Linked DNA regions of Caenorhabditis elegans. The protein of the gene in region 3 interacts with the protein of the main gene of each other region in a pairwise test. Each region holds a gene or a part of one and is shown on either strand. Other genes may lie near its edges.

Region 1 (7,581 bases), on a different chromosome or scaffold from region 3:
AAAATTTCATTGACCCTAAAAATAAATAAATAACGTGAACTGTAATGGATTACAAAAACACAAAAACAGACAAAAACTCGTGGAAAAAATAAAAAGAAGAGATTCAATCATTTCACAATTTGCTGTCATTGTTTCGAAATTCTAAATCTGTATCATAATGGTAGTTTCGTTAAACTTGCCCGTTCGACAGACTGAGGATAAACGAAGACGTCGAGACTAGGCCACCAATTTTCTCTTCGGAGTTTCAATAATATATGATTCATGATTTACTTTTTTAAGAGTTTTTTTTTTCAAAAATGCTAAACTTTTGACACTAAAATGTTTCTGAATTTTTGAAAACTTTGAAAATTAAATGTTTAAAAATAATTTTTTTGAAAATCTCTCAATTTTTTTTCTTCGAAAAGCTCAAAAAAACGATAAATTTCCGCATTTTGCCCAGAATTTAACATGTTTCGTCGATAAATCCGTATAAAGGAATCGATTTCGACGACAGTCACTTTTTCCCACAATCTTGGTATCGGTAAACGCGCTCTATAGATAAAGTCTCAATGGAGCGCATTTGCATTGTGAAATTTGATATATTTGTCGTTTCAGGAGATGCGAGTTCTCGTCTCATCTTGTCAAATACCAAATTTTTCAATTAGACGGTGCAAATTTCACAAATCAACTTCTTCGACTGCTGTCCGAGCGGGGAGTTGATGAGAATGGAATTAACTTTATTAGTGAGTCTTAATCAAGTTTGGGTCTCACCGCGAAAACCGTAATTGATTGGGGACAATGGGACCCAAGAGAGCCCAATGGAGCGGAATTGCAACTCCTATGAATTTTCCAGACGGAAGTCTCCATCACCGGACCCCACACAGCACAATGGATTCCGTGGAACGGGCGGCCGTCGAGGAAACTGTTTTGAGCAGTCCGTATTTGTTGCGAAAAATAATTCAAATGTATTATTTTGACTTTTTGCTATTCGGGTATAAGCTTCCTGATATTCCAGTTGAAAATTAGGAAAGTTCTTTATATGTATTTAATTGTTGTTAAATAGTAAAAATCGATAAATTGCTTGAATTTTGATAAATTACGGCCACGTCAATTTTTAGATAATTAACGGGCAAAAAAAGATTCTGGTGGCGACCTACAACTCACAAACAAAGATGACAACAGGGAAAATGTACACGTGGCAATATTGTGAAGCTATATGTATATATAATGAATAATGATATGTAAATTTGCATAATACAGGAGCAGTAGGTGATTGCTGGGGCGAGTAGAAATGTGGGTTATTATCTATCGATTACCATTACACATGAATTACGCTGGATTACGGTTAGAATTTTGTGAAAAAAAAGAAGTAAAACGCTGGGGCTATAAATCTATAATTGTCGAAGATGCTCAACGAGCCAGGAACGAGGGGAACATTGCGTCAAACTGGGCGGTCAATTCCATTAATGATGGTGCAGCTTGTGCATTGATTGCTGCAGCAGTAGGGACTCCATGCCTCATCACCGAATCGATAATCTTCTTTCCAGATGAGAAACGCTCGAGACGGGAGGCGTGTTGGAGCACACGCTGCTTCATTTTCTCGTACCATCCAGAGTAGAGAAGCAGAATAGCTGGTGGAAGTTGACGTTCTCTGGAAAAAACAAGATTTTCCTTAACACTTGGATTTACAGAATTAGTGAATATTCAAATCAGGGTGGGCGGCAATTTTTTTTCCGGCAAATTCAGCAAATTGCCGATTTGCCGGAAGTTTTTAAAAGGATTTTTAAAAGACGGAAACACTTAAAACTGTGCCTTTTTGAAATTTTCTCCCGATTTCTTTAGATATTTTCATAGATTTTACTGACTTTTCAAAATAAATGTAGGAACATTTATAGGATGCGTACAATTTTGCCGATTAAAATTGAGACTGTGAAATTTTCAGAAAAAATGTGCCGAATCACAATTTGCCGAAAATTTTAGTTCCGACAATTTGCCGTTTGCCGGAAAAAACCGTTTTCCAAGCCACGTGGATCATTTTTTGAAGAAAAAAATTGGGCAAATTTACAGAAACTTTAGTACCATGTGGATTTTTTAAGAACTATTGCCAAAATACGTGGAATGTTCAGAAATTTTTTGCCTTTGTGAAATTTTGGATCTTTCTGGATTTTCGGAAAAAAATTCAAATTTTTCTATGAAGACGAATTTCTGATTTTTTAAAAAATTTTTCACCGAACTCAAATAATACTCAGACGCGAAATTTCACGTTTTTCCGATCAAAATACGGTACCCGGGGTCTCGAATCGACATGCAGTATTTTTCTCGCTTTGTCATAGTTTCTCGATAAAAATGGATTTTTTTGAATTCAAAATCCTTAAGTTTCTACCCAGGGGAGAAAAAGTAGACTATAAAAATTTGAAGTTAAAGTACTCTTTAAAGGCGCACTTTTTTCGAATTTAACCAAAAATTGACGTGTCGAGACCTGGTACCGTATTGTGGTGCGAAAATCATTTAAAAAATTGCGTCGATTTTTGGTTTTTTGTTATTTCAAAAAATGTTCAATTTTTCAAAAAATTAGCTTTTAGATAAAAATAAAAGGTTTTTCCTTCTTTTTTTCCGGCTAAATAATTTTAAAAATCCGTTTTCCGGAATTTTACCACGTTTCATCACAAAAAAAAAAACTAACTCTTTGCCAATTAAAGCGGCGGTGCAAATCGAAATCATTTGCTGGACGACATAGTTGCCATACTGATGGAACAGAAGAATATCCAACGCATCACGATTCAACTCGACATCCTTCACATATCCACTGAAAATCTCCTCCATCATCTCGTGAAGCAACGCGGGCGGTGCAAACAAGAACGCTCCCTCGATGACGTGCGACGCGTACTTGTCCTGTGACATTGAGAGCAAGTTACGGAGCAGGCATTTATCGATGATAGTGTCTCTGTACATTTCCATGATGCCCGACGATTTGATGACGTATTGGATGACGTAGTTGGCGAACTCGTTGGAAGACAGCCGGTAGCAGTTGCGGACGATACACGTCATCAGAGAATGCAACAATTGAATACGGAATTTGAAACACGGGAGCTTGGGATTCTCGGCGAGTCTATCGATGACCTGTTGCACGAGACGACATCCATACTTGTCCTGGCACACGGCCATCAGTGAATCTCCTGACGAGAGGAAATGCACGAAAAAGGTCCACATGTCAACTGGAAGTTGCTTGACGACACGTTGAATCACGTGGATCGAGATTTGATCAGTGCACATTGCCGCCAGGTCGAATGTGCTGAGCTCTTGGATGAGCTGGAAGACGTTGGAATGGTCGAATTTCTGAAATTAACAAATTATTGATTTATTACACCTGGCAAGGCCTAAAAAGACCAAAAATAGCCCTAAAAATTTCGAAGAAATGGATTAATTTTAGCTAAAACGTAATTTTTTGCCAACTTTTCTGTGTCGCGATTTTTTTAAACCAAAATCGAAAAATTTCGTTTTTCGATATTTTGAACAAATTTCAATTTTTACGGGAAAATTTCTTAAAATTTAATTATTTTCCTCTAAGAGCCATTTTTTATGTTTTTTTCATCGACAAAAAATTTTCGTTAATGTGTGCACCTTTAAGTAGTACTGTAACTTTAAACTTTCATTGCTGCGGATTTTTTTAAAAATTGATTTTCAATGTTTTTCTACAGTTGTCGTCCAATTTCATGCAATTTGGAAAAAAACAGAAGGAAAAAGTGAAACGTCGATTTAAAAAAAATTCCGGAGCAATGAAAGTTCGGAGTTACAGTACTCTTTGAAGGCGCACACCTTTTTTGTTTTAACAAAAATTTGTCGTGATGAGACTGGGGACCGTTTTTCGGCGGAAAAATCGCAAAATTTCGGCTAATATCGAAGAAAAATCAATTTCCGACCGCTGCGACACTTTAGCAAAAAATTGTGATTTTAGCCAAAATTCAGTTATTTTTCGGAATTCCCGTGGCGAGACGTATTTCTCCCACCTGCAGAGCCAACTGCACAACTCGACATGCGAATTTATCCTTGCACATGACCAAAAGCCCTCCGTCGATCATTTGACGAAGCAATTCCCGCTGCTCGGCCGGTGTTGCGAGCTCGACGAGCTTCTGAACGATGAAATTGCCATTTCGACTGTGGCAGAGCCCCACGAAGAGTGTCGTGGATTCAGTGAGCTTCTCGAAGACGGCTTTACGAATCTGATCTTCGGAATCCAGTGGATAGTTGGCCTCCAAGAACTTTACGCCCGATGGATCGATTGCGAAATCGATGAGCAGCCCGTTGAGCAGCACCTCTTCGAGCGAAATGAAAATCGGAGCAGCTGGTGGTGGGGTCTCATCGTCGGAAGATCCCGATCCACTGTTGAAGATGTAGTTGTCCAAGTCGGAGGAGGTGGTGTTGCTTCCGTGGCGGTAGGGAAGAAGCTTGACCGGCGGCTTTGGATTCTGGAAATTCGAATTTTAAATTTTTATTATATTTTTTATTTAAATTAGAAGTTTTTATGCAATATTCTACCTTGTTCTTGTGAGTTTTGTTCGACAAAAGCGAGAAATCCGGGTCGAAATCGAACGACGCGCCGAGCATGTTGTACGAGTCCGTGCTTCTACGATTCGGGGTCATTTAGACGGAAATGAATGAATACAGGTTAGTAGACGCTGAAAAATTTTGGGAATTAGGATTTTCAACGGAAAAAAGAGTGAAAATGAGAGGAAAACATGTAAATTTCAACGAAAATCGCTAAATTACCGCGCATCAAAATTCAAAATTGAATTTTTCGCGGTGGCCCGGGTTACGGTGATTTTTAAAGGTGCATGGTTGTTTTGAGTAAGGTTTTGACGCGAAATTTAAAATTATTGAACACTTTTATTTTATTTTTACATTTTTGAAGAAAAAAATTATTATAATTCGATTTTTTAGGAGAAATTAAACATTTTCACAAAAATTGCAAAAAATCGCTCGCCAAAATTCGAAAATGAAGAGTTTGGCGGTGCTCATGGATTACGGTGGATTTAAAGGCACATGGCTGTTTTGTATTAGGTTTCACCACGAAACTTGGAGTTTTTGATAGTTTGCTTCCCATTTTGGGATTTTTTTTTTAATTTTCGCTCGATTTTCACACATTTTCACTCATTTGCACTCAATTTTTTTGCAGAAAAATGTCAATGGACATTGTTATGAAGTCAGATGAGCAGCCGTTCATCTCTGCGCCTGTATGCTTTAAGTAAGCTCCAATTTTTGTTATTCTGGCCTAAAATTATTTTTTTTTGATTTCCAGAACGTTCGCATTTTTCGCCAAAGCATCCGCAGAGGAATGCAAACTTCTAGCTTCGGGCTCCAACGCTTGAGAAAGTTTCCAGCAGGCCACGGGGCTCTCGGAGAAGATCACGGAAGACATTTACCGCCAAATTGAGTAGGTTTTTCGATTTTTTTACCCTTAAAAACTACTATTTTTCTATTTTCCAGCGTCTCCCACATTTCGTCGATGGTCTTCAACAGAGAAATGGACGGTGGCATCGAGAGAAATCGGCTCGGCTCGCAAGCGATTCTGCTCGACGAGAACTCCAGGCGCCGCAATCCACAGTTCAAATCGATCGCGCTCCGCTCTCTCCGCTACGATCACATCGATCATAGAGCGTTGGCAAGGAAATCGCCTCATCTGATGCCTCCGACTTATATCAAAGAGGAAATTATGGATGATGAGATCGACGAGGTGAAGGAAGAAGTGGTTTCCGTTGGAGAAGCCGCCTTGCCCACGCCAAAAGTCGAACTGAACATGGACCATCCGGAAAAGGACCTGATCATCAGCATTTCCGTGTATCTCGGCTACACCCGTACCCTTCAATACCACGAGATTCGCCTCGGACGTTTGATGAAGGTCACGGATCGGCTCGAGCTCACCGGAGATCACACGCTTCGCGATCTGAAAAACGCGTTCTCGTGCCCCATCGATTTCTCGTTTTCCGACGATTTTAGCGAGAAAAAGCCGTCGTTCAAGGATATGGCGAAAAATAAGTGGCCGTCGTCGATGTTCTTCATTCATGACACGTTTTATATCGACTCGAACACTGGCAACCAGTTTGTGGATCCGTCGATGTGAGCAAGGGTGCCGGCTAAAAGTTTTTCAGTGTTTTTGAGCGAAAAGGAACAAATTTTTTCTGAAAATTATTGATTTTTCGTTAGTCTTCAGAAAAAATGATTTTTTACGCCGCAAAATCGGGAAAAAACAAAAGAAAACTGAAAATTAAGACATTTTCGTTGATAAAAACGAATTTTTTGGTTTTTTTTTCAGAAATATATTATTTTTTGCTCTATTTCAACAAAAAACCCCAAATTTTCAGCACAATCCGAACTTGGGCCAAAAAGTTCGACTACATCGGTCCGATGCACGTGAAACAGATGTCGGAGACGAGGATCGGGGATCTCATTTGTCGGCTCGGTCAGCCATATGTCTACATTCATCAAGGCGTCTGCGAGCACCTCATCGTCTTCAATGACTTGTGCCTGAGGTACGGAAATTCTGGAAAAATCGAAAATTTTGATTTAAAAAAAACTCAAATATTTATGTGTTCTTTTTTTTACTAAAAAATTTTTTTCAAATTGTTTATGAAAAAAACACTAAAAAATAAGTTTTTATCAATTATTTAAACAAAATTTATATTTTTCGATTATCAAAATTGTTTTTTTTTTCAAATAAAATACCCCGAAAAAAATATTTTTTAAATTTTTTTTTCTATGTTTTGTGAATAATTTTTTTTGCAGAGATGAATCCCACACAAACGTCGAATTTCCACGCCGCCTCGTCGAACGGAATTTCAGAAGAATTGCATGTGACACGTGCAAGGAGGCGTCGGCGCAGTGAGTAGTAGCATTTAGAAATTCGGAATTTTTTTTGAAACCCCCGAAAAATATAGTTTTTATCGGAGTTCGAATTTTCGAAAAAAAAATCCAAAGAGAATCGATTAACGCAAAAATCATCAATTAAATCCAATTTTTTCAGCTGGATGATCGTCGACCACGACAATCTGCTTCCCAACTCGCCAGGCTATCTGTGCTCTTCGTGCTACAAGGAGTTCTGTTTCGACGTGAACGGCAACAAAGTGTGCCAGTTTAAGGCCGTACCGTATTGCGATCGAAAGGACATTGGCGACGGACGCCAGTTCTTCACCGAGCTCGATCTTTAGAGTGCGAGATTTAAAAGTCTGTATCATTTTTTGTTGTTTTTTTTTTAAATATTTTTCGATTTGATTGTTTAATTACCGATTTTTGGCCTGTAACTGTATTTGTTGAAATTTCTTTTTTTGTTAAATAAAATTTTTGTTTGCAAAAAAATTTATCCAATAAATAAACGGAATATATCGATGATATGGCAAGTAGGGGGAAACGGACGGGAAAATGATTATTTACAGAAGGGCGCGCACCAGAGGTTTCTCGGGGGAGCCCCGAGGCGGGTGGCGGAGCTAGGCTCAAAATTTGTCGGAAAAATGGGTGAAATGAGAGAAGAGGTAACCTAGAAAATGAGATGAGAAATTCGGAAGAATTTTGAACAATTTGAAAAATCGATAATGTTGAATTTTAAAATTA
Region 2 (9,313 bases), 1.5 Mb from region 3:
AGCAAACCTGAAAATATTTTTATATTTTTTAACGTTTTCTACAATTTTTAAACATTTTTTAAACTTTTTCTCTTACATACTTTTGCAGGAAGTCACGAGATTGCAAGAGATTGAACATGACCATAACAGTGTTCTGTTTTGTTAATGAAACAGTAATTTTATCCGATAAATTTACTACAACTGAATAATTATGTACGTTCCCTCGTTCTTTCGATGAGACTATTAAAATTATTTTTTTCTAATTTTTTTGGTTTCTTGGACTACGAAAAATTGCTCAAAGTGTGCTAGATTATTTGAAAACCCGAAATAAATTTGGATGAATTCAGTACTAAATTAAACAAGTAAAATTGAATTTTTATAAAACCTATAGATTTTTAAAAAATATCCCCAAAAAAAGGTTTTCCACAATGTTATTTTGTATAATTGACTGCGAAATATACCTAGCCTTTAAAATTTAATTTAAGATGATCTCGCATAGAATCAACATTGAACCACAATACAAACAAATCTTATTATTGAAGCAGTAGAATTTTGAAAAAAAATCACTAAAATTAAATGTCTATTTTCTTTTACTGTAAAACTGGAATTGAGGCCATTGATGAACCCATTGCAAAATATTTTCATATTTTTCTGAATACACTTTTGATGGTGGAGTATGAATCAATAAAATCCGATTTTGTGGGGTTTTATTAAAATAATGAGAAACATTTGAAAAAAAAAGAATTCCGACAATCAAATCATTATGATACACAAATTAAAAATCGTGTGCAATCGTGGAAAACTCGAGTGAATGGGTTGGGGTTTTTAGTTGCAGTGGTTTGTGTTGAGAGAAAAGGACACTTTCGTTTAAACAGGTACCAAACAGGGGGTGAGAAATGAACGAGTGAGAGCCAACTTGTAAAAAAGTAAGGGGAGTTGAAAAGGCAAACATGGTATGGAAAAAGGTGATATTTAAAGATAATATTGCAAAGGATGGTGGTGGATTTTAAAGATATATTGAAACATTAAAATAAAAATAAAAAAGGGGGTAATAGCCTCGACAAATATTTTTTGGGGGGAAACAGATCATTGGAAATTGAGACGCGTACAGTGTTCAAGAGACGGAAAGACATAGAGAGAAGGTGAGAGAGAGAGAGTGTGAATGAGAGAGGTGAATGGAGGAAGACCAGAGCTCATCAAACTACTAATTTAGTTGACTAATTTTTTTTTGGAAGATTTTTACTTTTTTAAAATGTTTTAAGGGAAGAACTACTATGGAAAACTGCTCTCACACTCCGTGTGCTGCAGCCGACACTTTCCGAGTTGCGCGCATCACAGCTATAGCCTCAGCAACGCTCTGTGTGTTGCAGCCGACGCTTCCCGGGTCGCGCTTTCCAAAGTAGTACTAATTTTGAAATTTCTACGGTACGGGGGGTTGTGGTAGGGTTTTACAGGTTTACAATAGATGTATATTCGGATGGTTGCAAATTTTTACACGTAACAGGGTTGCGACAGAAATGGGAGTGGTGTGTGTGGGTGTGGGTGTGAATCGATCAAAGAGTGTGAAAATACCTGAATGAATGCACCAAAATCACTGTTTTAAGGGAGAGAGCGAGAGACATAGAATTACCGAATTATTTTGAATGAAAATACAAGAATTTTTGTTAAATTGGGATCCCAGAGTTGGAGTGGAGGAGTTTTGCACTTGTAACACAGCTTTTTTTGAGTGAGTGAGAGAGAGAAAAAAAGAGAATGACTAGTAAGTAACACTATCTATCAAATTGCCTATAATGGAATCACAGAGAGTAGGTTTTGCAAAAAAAATTGTTTTGGGGAACTTAGAAAAAGTGAAGGCAAGACAAAAACGTGTAAGTGAAATGGGGGTTTGAAATTTGAAATTTAAAATGTGTTTTCAGAAACAGTAAATAAAAAAAAGACTGACTAAATCACCAGAAAACACGAAACCCGAACGATAAAGTTCTACGCGACTTGTTTCCAGGTTTGCCGGAAAAAAAACATTTTGATAAGTATCTCATATTATAGCACAAGCGTCTTTGACTAACCCGTTCGGCTATAAAATTACATGTTTGAATGAGGGAGGAAGAGGAAGAGGAGTGTGAATGGGATGACTTTTTCAAGGGAAAAAAACAGGGAAAGAAACATTTTTTGAGAACAGAGATTGATGATGAGTTGGGTGGGGACTTAGAATTACTGCGTGTGAATATGTGTGTGGTTTAGACTCGGTGAAAAGCAAAAAACGAAAGAACATCAAAAATGGGGTATGAAGTATGACAAAGAAATTTGGTATGTACAATCACTCAGTTACCAATACGGAGTGAGTTCAAACGGGTGCCGTTGAGCAAGTCGGCGGTTCCGAAAGGGTCATAGTAGCGCTGAGGTTGGTTAGCACTACCATCGTGGTTTGGGGCTGCTGGCTGTTGGTCGACTAGGCCGACACCGAGAGCCGCGGCGGTAAGAGTACGGTCTCCAATTGATCCGGCATCTAAAAATTGTAAATTTATAATTAGTTCCCATTGTAGTTTTGACTTACGATTGGATGGCGAGAAACGATCAATCTGGCTGGCACCGTCAGCACTTGGTGGGCTTGCCGATCCTCCAGAAGCTCTGGAAGAGGATCCACGAGTGTTTCCAATGATCGCAGCTCCACCTCTTCCACACTGGCACTGACAAGTGCATCCGGTACGTCCAATTGGATTGTAAGACATACGATCCAAAAAGTCATCAGCCTGAACACCAATGCTTCTCTCGTTCTTGGCGCTTGGCGGCATGGCGAGCAACGAGTTGTAGTTGACTCCCGAGAGAAGCGTCTCGTTCATCGAGCTCAACGGAGTAAGAGAAGTGAGACGTGGATTCGCGTTGGTGTTGTTCGACCAGGTGCTTGGGGAGAAGAGAGGGCTCCATTGGTCTCCACTGTTTCCGCTTTGAGAGAGGGAAGATTGAGAGTCCCAGAGGGAGCCCGAGCGGGTCGCTGCTGGAGTCATGGCGTGCTGAAAAAGATGTAGTTTTGTTTATAGAAATTTGAATTTTCAGCACGTGAAGAGCATGGTCAAGTTACGAATTTGTGAAATTTACAAAAGTTTGCGCTATAGTTGAACAATTTTTGATAAAGCTAAGGACACCCGAGATATAGGCTGTCAAAGTAGAACGATGGGTGATCTACTGTGGCCCCAGAAAATTTGCTTCCTGAAAATTACAGCGCTACAGATATTCTAGAACTATTCGTGTCTTTTGATCAAGCACGACAAAGCTCTACGGCATTGCAGTGTTCACCTCACAACTCAACTATTTGAAAGTGATAACTACTGTTTCATCATCTTGTGAAATATTTTGTGATTTTGGAAAAAACCGCTACGTTGTTAATCTAATCATGGATATACTTACCTGATGCTGCATGAGCAAATTCTGTGGTCTTCCAGTGGCGAACGAGCTGCCCATCTGAGCCGACATGGTTCTCTGAATTCCACGTGGTGGCTGTCCGTAAGCCATCTGCTGGGAACGAGTAATATCCATTTCTTGGAAGTGCTGCTTGATGAATCCGACATAGTCATAGTTTGGCAGATTGCGACGAACAGAGACATAGGTGCGGTTGGGGAACAGAGCAAAGACCCAGTTGTGAGCAGTCAGCAGGTTGAGGAAGTCCTGACGTCCTTCTCCAGTATGGCTACGAACTTCTGGCATGATGTCTGGGCTACCGTAGTAGTCGAACAGCGACTGGATTGATGTGGCTCCACCACGACGGAGAAGATAGGATGCCAATTGGTAGACAGCTTGATACACTGCTGGATACTGAAATGGAATAGATTTAGAATATCTAAATCTTCTGAAGAATTGCTTACCTGAAGAATGATGGAGTCATCATTTTGAAGACGGAAGAGATGAGTACGACGCTCCACGAATTGACGACGCTTCAACGATGATGTGCCAACATAACGGAATAGCTCATCATCCCCACAGTTGGACATTTGAGAGTGAAGGCTGAAACTCCTGAAGGGTGTCATGGAGATGCCGTCGAACAAATAAGGTGAGCAAGGGAATGGTCAGTTAATATATAGAAAGGAGGCACAAAAGAGCGAAACTTAGCAATCAAGCAACTTTCAAAACATCTATCCTACCTGCTCAGCTGAATCTGCTGCAATCCGTGGCGTTGGAAAATTGCCAAGAGAGCTGGAATCGCCTTCTGCTCGAGAGCCGGCGAGTAGGCATCCTTCGAGTTTGGTGGAGTTGGATTTGCCGCCTCTAGGTCGACTTCTTGGGAGTTTGCAAAGAGAACATCAGCATCGGGACCATAGATTGGTGAGACAATGGTGGCGGTGTACTCGCTTGTCTCATTGAGTGCAGCGTGGAACGACAATGTGAAACCAACACGAAGCACGGAAGTCAAGTCATTGAGCATCTGAAAATTTGTCAGATGTTGAAGTGAGGCTAACCTTGGTAGATCATAGAGATCATATGGGTAATTAGATTAGCTAATTTTATAAGGTACTTTATAATCGAAAAGGGTTTGTACTAACCTGATCACAAAAGTCCTTGAGCTGGAACGAGATGATCATCTTGTCCTTGCAAGTGATCAGACCAGCCTTGGCAGACAACCAAGTCAACACTCCGAATCCATGGATGGTGTCGGCTCTCTGTTGTTCAGCCATAGACGGTGGAAGGACTTGGGATGGAGTGACGAGAGGCTGTGGAGGGACCATCTGAAGTGGATGTGGGTTCTGGTACTGATTCAGCATTCCGAGTGTTGGCATGAATGGGACCGCGTGGTTCCCAAAGTTGTCCGGGGCTGAAATAAACTGATGTCTGGGAGAAAAATTAAAAAATTTTGCAGTTTCAACTATTTGATTTTTAAAAAATATTAAAACCTAAAAATTAATTATGAACCCGCAATGCGAGCTCACTTCGTTTTGAATTTTTGCTTAATCATGAATATCTTAGGTTTTTTCGCTGATAGTACCCAACGTGGAAACTACGATAGGTTACGGTACGGGATCGAATGTTTGAACACTAACTTTTTACTATTAGTTTACAATTCTACTGTTTCAAATTTAACGGAAATATTGGCACCTGACAAATTTACCTCAGTTTTCAATTAGTAGGTTGTTCTAGAAAAAATTTGAATGGAGGGTGAAATGGAAGTTAAAACTATAAAATGGAGTGCGTTTCGAATTTATTCTAGGTCCCCTCTAATTGCTCACCGTACTTTAAAAATTGCGTAATCATAAGCGTCCTAGGCATTTGACACAATGCACAAAGTTGAAACTACGGTAGGTTAAGGTACGTAGAAGTTATATGATGGCCGTGGGTACAAGGTGCTCGAGAAGTGATCCCTGTACGCAATTTGTGTGCCGTATAACTGTAGTCACTGCAACCTGGTTCGGTAGAGTGCATTTGCACTACCCATTGCCTTCGTAAGGTTCCGTTTTACAGGGGCATGTAATGCTAATCACATTTTTATTAAAAAATATGATTTCGCTGCGGGACCCGGCCCCTCACAAAATATTGCTTCATAATATCTATAAAGGTTAACAGGTAGGAAGGAAAAGTAATACCATTTCATTCCGACAAAACCTTAAATGTCGAGCGGATCCTACAACTACAGTACCAGATCTCTTGAAAATCTACCGTATTCCGTAATATTCACAAATGATACGGCTGCCTCTAAAGGGTCTACCGTAGAAAACTTGAGGTTCCTAGGAGTACCTTTATAATTTTAATTGGCTAGTCCCGTGAACCTAGATTATCAGAAAAAATACTGTTACACAATGGATATAAAGCAAACGCGTGAGAATCAAAAATATTGTTTGGTCCAATTTAATTCCGAATTTCCTGTTTTAGTATTGCATGCAAGACTAAAAGAGATCACGATTAATAGACGAAATACGGTATATGCTTACGTATCCAGTACCGTGATTCGAGTACCTCTACAGTAACCAATAAGTCAAGCGGATCCTGTAAAGACTACAACACGAGATCTCTTAAAAATCTACGGTACTCCTTAAAGGGTCTAACCTAGAAAACCTGGGTATCTAGGAGTACATTTATAGTAACTCTAGTCCTTTAGTCCTATGGTGCACACGAACAAAAAAGTACTGTTTCACAATGGTTATAAAGCAGAAGCTTAAGAATCAAACATATTAACGCTTTTAAAAGATTTGCATATGAACTTTTATATATGTTATCGTATCCAGTACCGTTATACGATGCACACTAAAGCCTTCCTTGTAGGAGAGGTATTGTTGAACTTAGAGCTAGACAATCGGGGGCTCGGATCGATATTGATCTTTGAGTACTGGTGGGGTGCTTCCTTACCTCCCATCTGCGAAAACTGTTGGAGTGACCATAACGACTGTGGTGGCTGTTGCTGCTGCTGTGATTGTTGTTGAGGTGGTGGTCCCCCTCCGAGTGGTTGCTGATTCGACGAGAAGAGACTATTCATTTCGTAAGACATCCCGTTTCAAGCTGTCTTCAGTCCGTTCGTCGTCGCGTCGATTCACACACCACAGACAACACAACACGTCGATCGATCGTTCGGGATGGATGACGTGATGGATCCTCGGTGCCTCGAGAATACTGGAATACTGATTTGATTAGATTAGAGTAGTTGGTTAAGGATCGGAGATGACTTAGAAGGAAAAAGTAAAAGAACAGAATTTGGGCAGCAACATACGCACTCAAAAATATATGTATGAAAACTAAACTGAATAGAAATATAAGAAGAATAAAACGAAAAATAGGGGAGAAGACGGAGAAAAAGTATGTGAAAAGAAACAACATGGGGGTTGTGTGTAGTGAGAGAGAGGGAGAGTGCATCGTGTGAGAGAGACAGCTAGAGAAAAACAGAGAAAGACGGGAAGATGTGCGCTGTGTCCCGAAAGGAGAAAGAGAGAGAGAGTGCCCGCCGCTCAACACTCACGCTCACGGACGCTCGCTCGCGCAAAAACGCTCATCGGAGAGTAGTGATCTCTCTGTCTCGGCGTCTACGACTCTTCTAACCACTCTGTATATGTGTGCGCGAGCGTGCCCGAGGGACACCAGGTCTGCGTCTCCGCACTCTCTCGCACTCACCCTCATTTTCGTTCGGGTGAGCCAGCAACGCAACACACAACCCACTCAGCCCACCCCGGCCCGGTCTATCTATCTATTGGGGGACTGAGAGAGAGAGAAAGGGATGGAGAGAGAGAGAGAGAGGAAATCAATAAGCACACAGGAAAGGGTACTGCAGCAGAAGAATAGTCTATAAAAATATATGAATATGCATGTGAAGAAGAAGAAGAAGCGTCATCAAAGGATTATCCTCGCTTCACAAGCTTTAAATTGGTCCTGGGTCCCTCCACGCAGCCAAGTGCGCTCTACTGCACTACTACAGTATACCTGTCAAGTAACCAAAAAACATGTTGATAAGATGTAGTCTACTATTTTTTTTTCAAGTGATAAGGAGTACTAGAGTTGCGAAATGTTGTTAGGGACTTTTTTTGGGGCTCGGAAAATGACGAATGTGTAATAAGATACAGTAATGCGAGATTGAGGTCTCGCGACGAGCGAATTTTTTCCAGCTACCGTACCCAAGAGTACGGTAGAATATTTGTAGGGTTTCCCAATACGTTTGATATTTTCACATGAAAGTTAATAGTTTTTTGTTTTTTTTTACCTAAAGAAGAAAAAAACCAAAAATTAACAAAAAATATATTCCTACAGTACTCATGAGTACTGTAGCTCAGAAAATTTTGCTCATGTCGCACTGCTTATTAAATTAATCCAGTTGTAATTTTCGAGAAACATTTTTTATAAATTCAGTGAAACGGAAAAAAAATCGTATTTCCATTGGGACTGGATTTAACGGGTCTCGCACCGACTTTTTGTGATTTTTGTTGCAAATTTTTGTGCTACTGCTAATTTAATCAATTCTATTGTAGCTAAACTTTTTGGGAGCACGGAAAATGACGAATGTGTAATAAAATATAGACTACAGTAATCCGGGGTTAAAGGCGCTATTACTCAGATGTACAAGTTTGCAAGTTTTAAAGTAAAAACACGGTAGTAGGTCTCGAAACGACTTAAACTTTGCAGCTACAGTACCCACAAATATTATTTCGCAATTTTCCACGTTTATTTAAAAAGGAATTTGGCCTTTTTCAAGATTTTCAATAAAGTCATATGTAGTTTTTGTATTTAAAATTTTCAAAAATTTTACCGAAGCCGCGTTGCAAGCGGAAGCGCTGAAAATTTGCAGATTGGGGTCTCGCAACGAGCGAAATTTTTTCAGCTATCGTACCCAAGAGTACGGTAGAATATTTGTAGTGTTTCCCAATACGTTTCCTCTTTTCACACCAAATTAAATATTTTTTTGTTTTTTTACCCCAAGAAATAACTGAAAATCAAAAACTACAGAAAGAAACCAAAAATAAAAATAAATTTCTACAGTACTCATGGGTACTGTAGCTGAGAATTTTTTTTTCAAAAGTATCATGCCAGTTCTCGTTTTATTGTTGTAATTTTCGAGAAACATTTTTTGTAAATCCAGTGAAACGGAAAAAAATTGATTTTAATTGGGACTGCCGGGCGGGTTTTATCGAGTGTCGCAACGACTTTTTGTGGTTTTTGTTTCAAATTTTTGTACTACTGCTAATTTAATCAATTATATTGCTGCTAAATTTTTTTGGGAACACGGAAAATGAATATGTAATAAAAAACAGTAATCCCCGTTTAAAGGCGCTTAACGAATTATTCAGATGCGCAAGTTGGCGATTTTTGAAGAAAAAGCACGGTACTGGGTCTCGAAACGATTGAAACTTTGCAGCTACAGTACCCAATATTAATATTTTGCAATTTTTCATTATTTTTGAAATATAATAATACCGAAGACGAGTTGCAAATGGAAGCTTATTATTTTTCTGTAAAAAGCAGCGCTGAAAAATTGCAGATTGAGGTCTCGCAACGAGCGCTTTTTTTTTCAGCTACCGTACCCAAGAGTACGGTAGAAAATTTGCAGGGTTTCTCAATACGCTTGCTCTTAGATCTTATCACACGAAAGTATATAACGTTTTTATGTTTTTTTTTACTTTTAGAAATTACTGAACATAAAGAAATAAAAATAATTTTTTACAGTACTCATGGGTACTGTAGCTTAGAAAATTTTTTTCGTGCCAGAACCTGAATCCGATCTGTTCTAGAAACACTCTTGCATCTTATCAATCCAGTAAATAGTAATTTTCGAGAAACATATTTTATAAATCCAGTGAAACGGAAAAATTGATTTTAATTGGGACTGCCGGGTGGGTTTTATCGGGTCTCGCAGTGACAATTTAGTGATTTTTTG
Region 3 (8,078 bases):
ACCAATCTCGCCATTTTTGAATCACTCATAACTCTCTTTATGTATCTCCTCAGGAAAGCAGGATCGTCGAAACGTTCATCAACATATTGTTTATCTGTTTGAACGCATTTGTCCGCAGTTTGCTTGATTTGAGGAGCCACAGTCACCGGATTGAGTTGATCTATCTGGATATCATTGGCAGAGGGTGGGCTGTGAAAATCCGGAAATGAAGGTGCGTTTGCGGGACTGGAGGACAATTGAGAAGAGTGTGATGAACTCTGAAAATTAATTTAATAGGGTGGGATATTCCAGTTAATTTTCAATTTACCTGCGAAAATCCGGAAAATGACGAACTGTGCGATGGGCTGGGACACGGAAATTGCAAAGAATGGTTCGAATTTGGCGAAAATCCAGAAAATGGTGAATCATCGTGGAGAACGCTGTAAGCCGAGCCAATCGATGAACTAACAGTGCTGGCACTCGACGCTGGCCTATTGTAAGGATTGTAGACTGGCTGTGAGAAGAATTCATTTGCTGTGAGTGCTGGCATCCGGGAACTTTCACCAATGTTGGTGGAATACGTATGTGATAAGTTTCTTGCCGCGGATTTCTTCACCGAGCCACCAATATCAATATCGCATGGTTGGGAGAAGGATGTCGGCTGTGATGACGATCCTCCCTTCCGTTTCTCGACACTGTTGTACCACACATCTATAATTCAAAAATGAAACTTGAAACTATTAAAAGAATAAAGAATACCGGTATTTGTGGATGAGCGATTCAAATGATCCTTAACTGGAGTCTCCGAAATATAAGCAAATTTTCTGACAGTTGACAGAAAATTCTCCCGATCTTCGCCACGAAGAGTTAATCGGAAACCTTGAGCCTGGTTGTTTACAATCACGAACAAATTTGTGTTCTTCATTCTGAAAACCGGGCAATTTGACTTTAATTTCTCAAACAACAAAGACTCACTTCAAACTCGGATACCTAGAAACTTCCATGTTACAATAAACGGTCTCGATCGGCTCGACTCCATGAATAACCGTCAGCTTCCTGCTATTCACCTCCATAACAACGCGAATATCTTTGCCCTGCAAATTTAACTTTTCGATACAGAATTCATCTATTTTTAAAACCTCTTGTCGATTACCGCTTCCTCTCAATTGCTTATACTTTATGATCGGCCACTGGAGTGTCTGCAATTCAGGAAACATACTGAAGAGACTGCAAAAACATAAATAATTTTTTTTTACTAAAAATGTCTAAAAATTTCGACCTCATTGGACCTCAAAATGTGAAAAAATTCAAAATTGCATGCCGGTCGTGGCGAGACCCATCCATCACTTTTACGCGCGAATTCAAATTCAAATTACCAAGCATATCTAATTTAGCTAATTCTCGTTTTTTTAACTTAAAATTTAATCGCATTTATGTAATAGATAAAATAAAAATTTTTGATAAATTGATAAAAAGTTTATTATGACGACAAACTGCAATAAATTAAAGCCAAATGGAAGGCAAAATGAGTACTTGGGAGCAATGATTCACACGAAAATGCAGGGAATAATAGTCAAAAAGGCGGTATTCGGAAGCGGGAACCCGTATAGTAATGGTTCGTTGAAGAAAGAAAAATAAAATAAATAAAATACAGGCACAGGAAGTATGTGAGAAGGGATCGTAGCTGTACATATTGGGATCGCAGATAAAATTATTGAGCATCAGCCTCGTAGCATTGTTGGTAGGCTGTACGGACGAGATTATATGGGAAACAGGTTTCAAGAACATCCATCGACAGCCAACGGTTTTTCCGAACCATCTGTTCAAGGATAATGTAGAGAGTTGTGTGGGAACGAAGAACGTCGTCGGATATTTGTCGACTGTTATCACGTTCATGAATAGTTCGTAGAATACCCGAGGACGCGAGCTGAAAATTTTTCTAGGTGAGAATATGTGTTAATAATGATAGAGCTAACCGCCAAGAACTCCTTCATCCTCGACTGGATATCATTTTGCTCGTGGAGATGGAAAAGAGCTGATCCGATAGTGTTAATCGCCATTGGAACACAGTGACTATTGTTCAAGCTGGCTGAAATTGTTTATTTTTAATTTTTGCAAAAAGCTGTAAAAGTATGTACCTTGAATGCTAGGCTTGTAAGACGAAAGATCCGACATTCCAATTCGTGGAATACAGATAGCGACGGCAACCATCAATAGACAACTATTAACATAGTGTTCTTGAGGGTGAATATTCGGATTTTGAGCACGAACCGCATTCACCAACGACATATCAACTGGTCCTGTGACTCCCATCGCAGCTGACATTTCTCCAATTTTAACTTTATCAACATCGTCCAAATTGTGATAAAGCATATCAAATGATGCTTGAAGAAATGGCAATTTAGATTCGACGATATGACGAAGAGCATCGTGGAGAGCATCACGAAACAGACAAATCTGTCCGATAATAATAGTTCTTTGCAGAATTGCATCAGCTGCGCATGTTGCGTTCGGAGTTTTCTTGTCCTTTGGTTCGACGCTCAAAAGATTTAAAACATCCTTCATCTTTTCAGCATTATCGAAATTAGATCTAGCAATCTGTAGAGCATCTTTGTATGTTGCAACAATCTTGCTCATCTCCATAATTTGACTGGCCACGTGCCAAATCAGCCGTTCAGTCATCAACTTTACTCCATAAGGTCCGATAATTTGAACCAATGCTCTCAATTCTTGAGGATCTGAATAATGATCGGGCATGAACGAGAGTTGTTCCTGTCCTGATGATAACATTGTTCGTAGATGCTCACTCCAAACCATATGACCAGATGAAGCACGACGGAGCAAAACTTCGAGATACCATTTCGTGTAGAGTGCTGCGATTGTGTCTTTATTCTTGGAATCAACGAGTTGAGTTTGTTGTAGAAGAGTTGTTTGCATTGTATTACTGATATCCACAGAAACTGAAATTCCATTTATGAGAATATTTATAGATTATTTTAAAAACCACTTACTTGCTGTATCAAGATTTTGAAGAACCGTCATGTAGGCTTGTAGCGCAAGGAGCATTTCACTTGGTCTTTTTGGATTACTTGCATGTGGTTGACCTTCCCAGAACATTCCATGAAGCAATTCTACAAATTTAGTTTCAAGGGACTGCGCTAGGTACGTCCTCGGTGCAAATGTGTGATCAGCAACGTAAATTTGACGATGAGCTCCGAGAGCTGCAGAGATTTCAACTGAAAAGTGGGAAATTTGTGATATAAAATCTAATTTAAAAAACGTTTTAAAACTTACGAAGAGTTGTTTGCAACTTATCAGGCATTGTTAATGCTTGACGATCAACTCGATAACTTTCTTCTCCAGCAATGAAATAATCTCGAGCGGCTGCTGCGGCCGCCGCTGCAGCTTTTCCAGATCCTTTCTGTTGAACAACTTGAGCAACAACTCTTACAGCCACGGCGCTCGGTGTCATTTGATAAGCTAATCCGAATTCATGTTCAGCCACTTTTTCCAGGATATATGACAATTGTTTGCACGTCTCTTCAATTACAGAATTGCATTGAGCCAAGGCTTTTTCAGTGATAAATGCTTTTTCTTCAGGACACATGTCATGGAGGGCGCTTGTGAAATGCGCGGCAAGACGTGCAAAACTGAGCACATATCGAGCTTGAGCAGGTAGCTGGAGACAGTTGAGCCAATGTTTTTCAGCGAGTTTTGGATAGAAGCAGTATAATGATAAATCACTTGTTTCCCTTAGCATCTCGTCTTGCAAATCGATCATTTTCAGATGAAAAACTGAAGTATTCATGTATATTGCGAGTTTTTTATGTCTTGAAAGTTGGAAATGGCTCCGAGCAGCAGATGTCCAAGCTTGAAATCTAAACCAGTCTAGTCGAAGAGCACGAAGATCCGTATCAGAGTTGATATTTCCTATTTCGTTGGCAAAATCGGTCAAAAGAACCGCTTCTTCCTGGGTGAGGCCATTTGCTTGGTTAATCTCTTCAGAAACAACAATTGAATCATAGCTAGACACGTACTGAAAATAAAAAAGATTTAAAATAGATAAATTTAAAGTTTTAACAAAACCTGTAGATAGTATCTTTGAATCACTGCATAATATTTCGTAACGAGATCTCTTAATTCCAGCATATAAAATAGCAGTTCTGGAAGTTGCCTGTCAACAAGCTCCTCGACCATTCTGCTGCCTTTTTTGCTGATAGCAGGAACTTCAACTTGATGCCGTAGAAGCCATATGACCTCATCTCTTCCTGCTCCAAGAGCCATCCAGACATAGAGAATTTTCGGGCCAAGTAGTCCGGGCTGATCTCGTAGTAAAAGTGACAGCTCTCGAAGAGAACTTCTAAGGAAGCGGCGACGGTCTGCGTGGACGGCAACTCTGAAATACAAATTATTAGAAAACGCTTTGTTTATCATATTTTTTAACTTACGCAGTAACAGATGCATGATTGAACGCATCTTTAACATCTTGTAACCGTTTGCTTTTTTCTTTGGAAGATTCTAAAAACGCTTGAATCTCTTGATGAACAATAAATGTTTCGTCTCGGAAAACGCGAAGACACAGATTCATTTGAAGTGCCAGCTGCCACATGTGCCTAATGTTGTCATCGTTAAGAAGAGTTGAATGGCATACTGTTCCGCAGACTGAAAATATTACAATTTTAATAAACATTTTAATACTAATTTGTATATTAACTTACACACAATCCATCGATCAATGACGTCGAGTGATAGATATTCGCATGCAATCTGAAACGATTTACATAAATAATTTTCCATTAAATAAAAACTTGCTCACAGTTTCTGTTTGAGCAGCATATAAAATTTGTGCTGGAGCAGCGGTCAACGAGAAAACATTTGATGTTCTCCATGAATCTGCTGTCTTGTTTCTGCGCTGATATGTGTGTGTAACAGAAGAAAGAGCTGAATAAATTAGCCTGTTCAGTGGTCCGAGATCTTCATGAAGCTTTTTTAACGGATTTTCATAATCAAGAATCATTTGTCCTAATCTTGGAAATGATGCTTCACTTTGTCCGTGTTGTAGATCATATGCCGCATTAAAAAGTCCAAGAACAGCTTTCCGGTCTTCAATTCTTGATAAAAGAATCATCATTGTGACGAGATGTACAACAAGATTCAAATAACTCGTTGTCAGGTCGTAATTGAGCGTCTAAAAAATAAAATTTTAGCTTAAACATTATACGAACGATATAAATATTTAAAATCAATAATATACTCACCACATCCAGCTGACATTGACATGATTCCATAGTTGTCAAAACTTGCATAATGTGATCTTTTAAATCAAGAATATCAGCAAATGTGTAGTAATATAGCGATAAAGATTTTGTAATTTCCGTGGACTTTTCTTGTACATATTCGAACGTCGACTGAAATTAATTTCGGCATGAGAAATCAACAATTTGAACTACTCACTGAATTCGATCTGCAATCAACAACAGGAAACTTTCTAACTATATGTTTGATTGCACCTTCCATCTTCTTGTCGCTAAGAAATTGTGGTTTCACTTTTGAATCTGAAATCTTCAGCATTTTATAACAACAGAAATTTTCAAAGACTACTCACCGCCGCTTGATTTCTTAATATTGTATATCCGTGTCATCATTCCAGCAGCACGATCATTCAGTATCACAAGTTTTTCAGCAATTTTCACCTGTCTGGCATCTTTGTAAGCCATTTTGCTGAAAATTGGAGAGAAAATTGAAGGGGAAATGAGTCACAAATTGGATTACAGTTTAAAGGCGCATTCAATTAAACAAGAGGTGTCTCTCACCACGGCTGTGCAAGCATGCTCTATTGCGCTCTTTTGTTGGCGGCAGTTTGAACGAGAGAGGGAGACCGTTATAAAAAATGTAGACCACGAAAAATCTAGACCACGAAAATATTTAAAAAAGCTATTTTCAGACAGATTTTCAGGTTTTTACAAAAGAAGTTTATTTAATGGGGAATAAACTTCTTGTTTTATTGCAATTTGTCACCGCAGAATATGATCTAGATCACCGTGAATGGCACTGACGAGGTTCAAGAACTGGAAAAACGAACAAAAAAAAATATTTGGAATGTTTGGAAAAAAAAAACATAAAATCAAACTGAAGAACTATTCACCAAATATGTTGCTTTTATGAACTTTCAAGCTTTTTGTGAACTTTTGTGTCGACTTTTCTTAAAAATCATATTTTTCCAAATTATTTCCCCACTTTATGTATAGTGATTGTTTAGTGAGAAGAACAAAAATTCCTTGTAAATCCCTAAATACAGACAGACAGTTTCACATCCAATTACGAAATATTTCATTTGATATTTCCAAATATTTCCAATTTATATCTCTTCGTCCCTCCGTGGCAGCTTAGTTCATCAAACCTTTCCACCGTCGATTCGAATCGGCTTTCTTATCAGGTCAAATGCTATAGATAGCTGGTCTCTCTCCCTCTCTCTCTCTCTATCTCTCTCTCTCTGATAGTCCGAAGAAATTCTCACATCGTTTACAATAGCGAACAACACCGAAATGGCTGTAGATGGAGGAGAAGAAGAAGAAGCATGAGACCAGCAAGGATCGGGAAACTGTGAAAGAGAGAAACGGGTTTGACGAAAGGCCGGACGGATGGTTAGCCTCTCTTTCTCTCCCTCTTTCCCGGGAGGCCTTCCTTTCATTCAAATGTTTCCATCGCTTTTCGTTGAATACTTCCACTCACTTTTGTTACTTCTACACATTTTTCTTCATTTCATATCTTTTTATGAAACTTTTTGGATTCAAAGTTTTCACTTGTTCGTTTCATTTAACTTGCAAAAAAAACAACTATCTTCATCTTAAATCTGTCAGAAAAGGTGCGAAGTCATCGCATTCATACAGCTTCTCCATCTTCTACAGCTCGCCTCATTCAATCTATTCACTGTGTCAAACGTGTTTCTAGTTTCCATATGTCTATACAACTTTTATCTCTTCCGTTCTCTGTAATACAATTATTTTCTGTTCTTTTGAATCGTTTTACACACATTGCGTAATACCGATCGAACAGTTTCTATCGGGTCCTGGCACGCGCGGAATTTTTCAACTACCGTACCTCTTTGATTGTTTCGTTAGTTGAAATGTTTCGATCGTGACAAGACTCAAGTTGGTGATTTTAAATTAAAATTCAAAGTTTTTGATTTAAGTATTTAATAGCATAAACTTTGACAATGCTGCACTGATTTTCCAAATTAGGCTCCGCCCATATCTTGGCTCTTTTGAAATTTTACATTGCATTTTCTCGTACTTTACTTCTACATAGTCTACGAACACAGAATAGATACCTAAAATAAACTCAAAAATTCCATACTTTTTGAAACTGTGCATGGCAAGCTTTTGACCTAAAAGCTTATATCTCATAGTCAGACATTTCAGATGCTATCCAGGATTCGTCAACTAATAAGATATTCATCTTAAAAGTTTCCAATTTTCTTAGTTCAAGACTTTTTGATAACTCTAAAGTCTTACTAGATATAAATATAATTCTAAAACTTTTGCAATTTTCTATATTTCGTTACAGCCCAAATATTCTCAAAACATAATTATTCCAAATGTTGACTTGTAATTTGATCTAAACAAAAGAACTTATTCAAATCCAAACATCAGTTTTTCGTGTTTCTTTGGCAAATAAATTTGCAAAACCCGGAAAGGGAAAGCAGTTCAGTTCCCACCTGGAACAGGTCTTTCATTGAAAGACCTGACTGAACATGTCTTTGAAATTCATAAACAAAATGATTTGGTGATAAAATAATGATGGCAAGCGGAAGGAGAAGATTCGAATGTGGTGGTGTTAATGCCTACAGGCATAGGTTTAGGCGGCCTGCGCCTATAGGTCTATAGGCGCACAGGCAGGCACCGATTATGTGTGTTGCAAATGTCCTCGTTTCTCGTTGTTGTGTCGAAGCTTTTAAATAAAATATTATACAGAAAAATAGATAAATACTTGTTCTTTTAAAAAAATTAAATTTCTTTTGTTTGAAAATTTCGATAAAATTGCTTAAAATTTCCTCAAAGTCGAAATGGTAGCATTACAACTTTGAGTAAGTTTTTGAG
Region 4 (6,522 bases), on a different chromosome or scaffold from region 3:
GATGCAGGAAGTGATATAGTTCGAATGCAACTCATTGCAATATCGTCCGCTAGGGTACTTTGGATTGAATTCAGATGCACCATGCGAGATTCCTCTAGTATTCTCAGCGCTTCTTCAGGATCAAGAAGACGTTCTCTGGACAATAAAACGTGCTTCTTGTATACTTTTTCAATTCGTTTTCTAGCCTCCTTTTCCGATTCGGGCCGCTCGAAAAACTTATTTCTATTAATATGTTCATATCCCAAATCTCCACGAATCTTGATATTTCTTTTCTTCTTTTGTTTGCTTGATGTGAAATCATCACTATCGGAATCAGAATCAGAAGAAGACGAAGATTGATTATCTTGTTCTAGAAGACTTTTCTGAAAATCTTCTTCACCAGAGGACTCTCCCGGTTCGTATGAAAATTCCTTCTCGTTACTATCAGTAATATTACGATTTTCCTTCTTAGTTTTTGCATGCTTCCACCGAAGTAGTTTTTTGCGGATAGTGTACTCATCTGGCTGAAATTTGAATATTTTAGAACTTGAAATGCTTCACTGCACTCTACCTCTACAAATTCACTTTTTTTGTTTTCTGATGCTTCAAGAGCTTGTACTTCTCCGCTAGTGAGTCCTCCGATCGCAGGAATACTCGATCCAAAACCGACATATGGCAAACGTCCAGAACTCGGTGGTGGTTGGTAAGTAGCCGACATTTGTAAATAGTTGGCGAACTGTGCGGTTTGAGTTGTATGTGATTGCGCGTGATGTCTAAAATTTGAAGAAATAAAGAAAAAAGTTTCGAAGCAATTAAAAATAAATATCTTTAAATTGTATTTGTTGTCTGAGTGTCTAAGACCAAAAATTTCATTAAAAAAACATTTTTGGAAAGTAACACTCTGCTTTTATAATTCGCTTCGCGTTTATATTCCACAGTTCTATAATCATCTTATCAATAATTTTCATAAGATTAACTTGAATAGTGGTTGAAACTTCATGAACTATTTTTTTCTAATGAAAACTCACTTCAACATAAACTCGGTTCCAAATGTTTTTCCGCATTTTATACAGGTATGATTAGCCTCGTGTTTTTCTTTGAAATGCTCTTCGATTTCAACAACAGAATGAAATTCTTCAATGTTACATTCAGAACAACTCAGCGGAAGTCCAATGTTTAGTTCAGACATCACTTGAAATTGAATTCGTATTCCTTTCCCTTCATCTTTCAACGGTTTTGGGAAGTAAGCAACGACCGGAACCAACGGTTGACAAGAATGGTTCATCTGTAAAAATAATTGTAATCAGAGAAAAAAATGTATAATCACTCATGACTCACCAATGCAGTTGCAAAATACGTCCATCCTTTCTTTCCTTCGCCTGATGGTTTTACCGACAGCCACAATCCGCACTGAGAACAGCAGAGGTACATGTACGCGGCTTCAAGATGTAAAGTTTGCTGTTTGAAAGTTAATTGACGCAGGTACTCCGCAAACTCTTTGCAATCGTGTTTAGTTAATTCATATCGAGACGGATAAACTCTGTAACAGATATCACATCCGAAAAGGTGAACCACGTCATGATGTCCTAGGTAGTGTTCAATAGTTTCACACATATTTAAGAACAATGGCTGATTTTCACAGCAATTTGGGCGAACAGTTGTCCCGCGCGCAATCGGACTTGGCTGGAAAACTTTTGATTTAGATAAATATCAACAACCGTAAATTTTACCGGATGACGCGGGTCCGTGACCGAGATTTCGGAAAGCGGCATCGGCATATTTTGAACAAAAAGTCTTGAATCGAACACATCCTTCCTTGCAGCATACTCCCAATCACGACGAAACGTTGGAGGCATTGCATTGTATACATGACGAATACTTTTCAATAGGATTTCGTCATGATCTTCATTATTTGCCCCAACGATACAAAGTTTATCGACAGTTTGCCTGAATTTTAAATTGAGAATCTGAACGTTGCTTTAGAAACTAACATTATCGAAAAAATCTGGTTATCACTGAGCCATGCACAAAACCGTCGAAATCCTCCAGAAGCCCTCCGTACAGCAGGTTGTGAATCTAGTCGGAATCCAATTACTCGTTCACCTTCTGCTCGCGCATCTTCTGCTAATGGGACAATCGTTTTAAACACATCTTCTTGTTTTGGAGGTCTTGAATATTGACTAGCATAGGTTGGTAAACCCGGAACTTGAAATTGACGGGATGCGCCTTTTGCATTAGGTTTCTTCTTTCGGCCAGAATTACCCTCATTTTCTTCCATATAATTTTCGTCCAGCTCATCTCGTGTTCTTTTCGGCTTTTTCCGGTTCCCTCGGCTTCCAAAATCGGTAACCAGTGACTGAGCTTGAGCTTCGTCACCTCGTTCAATACTCGCGTAGTTTACTGATCTACGGGGTCGGGAAGAGTGTCCAAATGTGGATAACGGAGCTTTCGATTCAAGAGGATCTCTGAAATATTCAATGTAAGTGTAAATATAATTCCTTTTTGATTTATGGTAATGAAAAAATAAAAATTTAACCAGGTATTTAGATTTCGTTCAGTTAAATGAAAACTCGGTGAAACTCAGTCTAAATTGAATTTAAAAAATTACCTGATGCAAGAAAAATGTGAGGCCCCACGAAAAGGGGAGCAGAACGAAAAGGGGATCTGCAAAAAGGGGATCTGCGAAAAGGGGAGATACGAAAAGGGGAGCTGGCACTGTGCCAAACGCACAAAACGCTTTTTTTATTCTCATTCAACGCACGCATTATTTGTGTATTTTACGCTAAACAACGCGCGATGCGTAATAACGGAGTGTGGTTATAACAAAGTCGTGCGTTGAATGAGAATAAAAAAGCGTTTTGTGCGTTTGGCACTGTGCCAGCTCCCCTTTTCGTTGCTCCCCTTTTCGTATCTCCCCTTTTCGTATCTCCCCTTTTCGCAGATCCCCTTTTTGCAGATCCCCTTTTCGTTCTGCTCCCCTTTTCGTGGGGCCTCAAAAATGTGAATTGCGAATGAGGAAAGTGCGCTCTAGTGGCACAAATTTAAATAAATTCGCACAAATTTAGCAATTTTAACAAATGTTTGACTGTGAATGCTTTCTAAGTGCATTTTTGAAAGTTTCCTTGAATAACTTAAACTTAACCTACTTTTTATATTCTTCTGATCCTCTCTTCCTCTTGACAGCAGGCTCTTTCATATCCTTTTGCATAAAATCAGCAAGCCGTTGTGCCTCCTCTTCTTCTCTCTGTTTGGCAGCTGCTATCTCATGACTGAGATCAGATAATCCTGTACGCAGTGGAGCGCTTTGATTGTTATTCGCTTGCTGAAACTTTCTCTGGGGTAATTTAAACAACTTGATTACTGATTCTCACCTCATCTGGAACTTCTGGCTCCTCCGTTTTAACGAGTGGGGCTGTTTGGTTGAGCTGTTGAAACAGCTCAAACTCATCCATAGTTGTTATTTGGAGAGCTGAAATTTTTTTTGAAAAAGGCAACAGAAAAAAATGAGAGAACTGAACGAAAAGAATGACTGGAGATAAGCTTTATCTCAAAAAAAAACTAAAATATCAATCTACATGAACTTCCAGTTTGAATCAAAGATAATTATTCAAGAATCTATCATATGTTCTCGAAATTAATTTACGCCTAACTTGCGTATTTTTAAACGTTTGTTCGGTTTTTTACGATGTATAGTGAATACCAGTAACTTAATTGTTTCAAATTTGCGCGTGAAATATACTGCAATTCGTTGGCTAACCTCACTACTATGATACAAATTTTATACGGGGCGCGGTTATGTGGGCGTGTCCGACCCATTGAACACACTTATAAGAACTCTTTAAAATGTTTAGGTTTTTTATTAGATAAGTTTATTTCATTGGAGGTCTAATGATTTCAAAAAACCGAACTCTGAACTTTCGTGAGCCCTTTCCCACTAATTACTGATCTCGACACGACTACACGCAGAATCAGCGCACATCCTGTCATACTTCAAACTCAATATATTTTAAAACCCCCGAAAAAATAATATTCTCATTTAAAAAAGCAAAATCCGGAAACGTGTTACGGAATCGACAAAAATTTTGAAACTGCGACAAAAATTTTTACCGATCTTTTGGCGCGCATTGGAATTGAGAATTTGAAGGCTGTGTCATATAGAAAGTACCGCAGAGCGTATATGCCACTCTGCGTCTCTCATATTTATTGGTCAGACGGACAAACGATGGTAGGAAGACTATGAGCAGCGGAGAGGGCGCAGAGAAACGAGACCTATTTCTTTGCCCTGCTGCAGTGTCTACTGCAACGGGGCTAGCAAGGACGAATCGATTGGAGAAAAAAGAAAAGTGAATGGGTTTTGCCCAAAGTGTTTGCGTACATTACGGCGCTATATTTGACGACAGTTTGAAATATTTAAAAATTTAGCTGTGCAACTACAGTAATCCACGGAAACAAATTCAAAAAGGACTGGGGTCTAAAACGGTCAGATGATTCAAAATAAAGAAGGGTATCTGTAAATGGATACTGTACACTGAAAATAATAAAATGTTCTGTCGCGTAAGTACAGACCCCAAAAATTAGGCAGAACTTTCGAAAACTGTGCAAACACACCAACCAGTTTTATTATCGTAATTTCGCAACAAATTTCACTCGTCAGTTTAAAGGCACACGTTGTTTTTCTGAGCGGGTCTCGCCACGATCACAGTCATAGTGATCGCTACAGGTGCCACATTTTTCAGATTTATTCATTTGAAAAAAGTACATTGTTAAATTCTATAGATTTGAACAGTATACAGCTCCGAAATTAGAAAACAGCTAAAGTGGAAATTCGAGCAAGCCCACATTTGAACCCAATGAGCAGGAAAAATAAAATAAAAGCAAGAAAACTTAAAGAAGCGCTCAGTCAAGAACTCTGCAACTATAGTGTGGTCTTGCAGCGATAATTTTACTGTACTCTAAACTATATTTATTTTCTCTAGAAAACAAAATAATATTCAAAAACACACTACACATTTTTCCGGTCCCGTGTGTGTTAATGTTCACCACGGCGCACAATTGCGGACACTTCGCGGCGGTCAATACAATTTTAGGCCACTGCAGGGAAGAGAGAAAGTGGGCGGCGGCAGCCCGCGTAAATAACCAGCCACACACGAAACGAGACTGAATAAATGAAAAACCGCGACGCAGCCGCTGTGCACGATTTCTCGTTTGGGATACCTTCAGAAAATTTACAAAAGTGAGGAACGGGTGGCGTGACCGCGACGCGACCGCAACGCAGAATCAATAACTCCAAAATAGGATTAAAGTTTAAAAATCAGTCAATAAATAACTTTGAGAAGAGAAATTAGGATAGAATTAAGATTCGATATTGATTTGAAAAGTTAATACTGGGCTTAGGAAAAGTTAATACTGGAACTTTGCAATATAAATTAATTTGTAGTGTTACTAAAAGAATTTTAATTTTGAAATTTTAGAAAAAATTAGAAGAACAATAATCAAAAAACTAAACTTTTGGATTTACTGAAAACATTTGAAAAGGGAAATGTAAATAACTGTAGAAACAGGAAAATGTCGAGCAATGCGAATTTCGGTAGAGCGCACTTCCATAATTCGAAAACCGCAACGCGCACGCAACGCACAGGATTTACGGAAACAGGAAAGGAGGAACCAAAAATTCGGTTTCGCGCACGCTTATTTCGCAACCCTCGCGCGTTTTTTTTTCACAGCAAGGTTAGAACATTTTAAGAAAAAAAGCATGCGGGGGTTATGAAAACACACTACCGAAAATAAATAGAATGAATTTCGAAAATTATTTTCACCGATATCATTTGCTACAGCTGTTGAAGCTTCAACTATGAGTACAGTTATGCGGAAAAATACTTTTTAAAAATTAATTTTTGGGACTACAAAGTCTGTATTTTAAACTACCATTGGTACGATGCGGTGCGAATCGGGAGGTGGTCTTCATTAGAGCGCGATTGTTAATTCAACCGCGACGTGCACGCGACGCTCTCAAAAAATGTTCAAAATTTGAAAATAAGAGAGAAAAAAACACGCCAGCTGACAACTGCGTCAGCAAAACTGGTCTTGGTTCACATTGGCAGTGCGTACAACACACCTTATCTTACGCGCAAGTTGGATATGATTTTCCAGGCGAGACCCGACTGAAGATGTACGCTCACGCGAAAAATACGGATTTTATTTGTTTTGATAACTTCGGATGGAAAAAAAAGAAAAAAACCAATTTTGTTAAATTGTAAAAATAGTTAGTATAAAACGCGTAACGATAATTCATTTCTCATTTTTTTCAATTTACAACTACTTGTTTCAAGGCTAGCAAAGATACCGTATGGATAGGTGAGTATCGATAGAATTTCTCGAGTTAAAAAAATTAGTTTAAAAAAATTTAACTTTTATCAGATCAATAGCAAAAATGTTATCAAACCAACAGATTCGCAATTTTTCACGCGGAGTTGGTCACTTACGTAGAAGAGCTGCAAAAAATAACGTGATAAAAGTTAGGCCTGAAGAGTAAGTCTAAATCAT

What was found.
Region 1: the proteins of gex-3 (region 3) and puf-6 interact in a two-hybrid assay, tested with the Caenorhabditis elegans proteins (one large-scale study listed by BioGRID).
Region 2: the proteins of gex-3 (region 3) and lin-66 interact in a two-hybrid assay, tested with the Caenorhabditis elegans proteins (one large-scale study listed by BioGRID).
Region 4: the proteins of gex-3 (region 3) and lin-13 interact in a two-hybrid assay, tested with the Caenorhabditis elegans proteins (one large-scale study listed by BioGRID).

The regions. Positions count from the first base shown.
Region 1 is NC_003280.10:13,038,791-13,046,371, forward strand, and holds puf-6 (Pumilio domain-containing protein 6), read right to left. Parts: upstream 4,656-7,581; 5' UTR 4,621-4,655; coding exon 4,516-4,620; intron 4,446-4,515; coding exon 3,987-4,445; intron 3,316-3,986; coding exon 2,663-3,315; intron 1,631-2,662; coding exon 1,390-1,630; 3' UTR 1,005-1,389; downstream 1-1,004. UniProt on the Caenorhabditis elegans protein: RNA-binding protein that binds to the consensus sequence 5'-CUCUGUAUCUUGU-3' in mRNA 3'-UTRs and modulates mRNA expression and stability.
Region 2 is NC_003282.8:13,885,343-13,894,655, reverse strand, and holds lin-66 (GATA-type domain-containing protein), read right to left. Parts: upstream 6,568-9,313; 5' UTR 6,446-6,567; coding exon 6,307-6,445; intron 6,256-6,306; exon of another isoform or gene 6,235-6,255; intron 6,154-6,234; exon of another isoform or gene 6,133-6,153; intron 5,817-6,132; exon of another isoform or gene 5,796-5,816; intron 5,565-5,795; exon of another isoform or gene 5,544-5,564; intron 5,102-5,543; exon of another isoform or gene 5,080-5,101; intron 4,906-5,079; exon of another isoform or gene 4,868-4,905; intron 4,781-4,867; coding exon 4,512-4,780; intron 4,394-4,511; coding exon 4,113-4,393; intron 3,985-4,112; coding exon 3,837-3,984; intron 3,787-3,836; coding exon 3,382-3,786; intron 3,374-3,381; exon of another isoform or gene 3,350-3,373; intron 2,988-3,349; coding exon 2,531-2,987; intron 2,483-2,530; coding exon 2,298-2,482; 3' UTR 671-2,297; downstream 1-670.
Region 3 is NC_003282.8:12,402,053-12,410,130, reverse strand, and holds gex-3 (Membrane-associated protein gex-3), read right to left. Parts: upstream 5,701-8,078; 5' UTR 5,697-5,700; coding exon 5,585-5,696; intron 5,535-5,584; coding exon 5,434-5,534; intron 5,388-5,433; coding exon 5,238-5,387; intron 5,168-5,237; coding exon 4,796-5,167; intron 4,747-4,795; coding exon 4,698-4,746; intron 4,642-4,697; coding exon 4,428-4,641; intron 4,376-4,427; coding exon 4,066-4,375; intron 4,016-4,065; coding exon 3,274-4,015; intron 3,216-3,273; coding exon 2,991-3,215; intron 2,940-2,990; coding exon 2,118-2,939; intron 2,069-2,117; coding exon 1,956-2,068; intron 1,907-1,955; coding exon 1,691-1,906; 3' UTR 1,441-1,690; downstream 1-1,440. Other genes in the region: dsb-1 (Double-Strand Break factor), read right to left, coding at 1-257, 308-690, 739-905, 955-1,073, 1,119-1,196. UniProt on the Caenorhabditis elegans protein: Rac effector required for tissue morphogenesis, cell migrations and egg laying. May play a role in egg laying and in yolk protein clatherin-mediated endocytosis by oocytes during oogenesis.
Region 4 is NC_003281.10:7,706,042-7,712,563, forward strand, and holds the start of lin-13 (Zinc finger protein lin-13), read right to left. Parts: upstream 3,451-6,522; 5' UTR 3,432-3,450; coding exon 3,351-3,431; intron 3,308-3,350; coding exon 3,126-3,307; intron 2,445-3,125; coding exon 1,971-2,444; intron 1,927-1,970; coding exon 1,710-1,926; intron 1,663-1,709; coding exon 1,318-1,662; intron 1,265-1,317; coding exon 1,008-1,264; intron 971-1,007; exon of another isoform or gene 821-970; intron 753-820; coding exon 551-752; intron 504-550; coding exon 1-503. Other genes in the region: C03B8.3 (TMEM65 family protein), read left to right, coding at 6,326-6,333, 6,397-6,507. UniProt on the Caenorhabditis elegans protein: Involved in repression of vulval fate, possibly by a tumor suppressor protein Rb-mediated mechanism. May act in a common pathway with retinoblastoma-like protein homolog lin-35 and hpl-2 to influence the ER stress response in the intestine.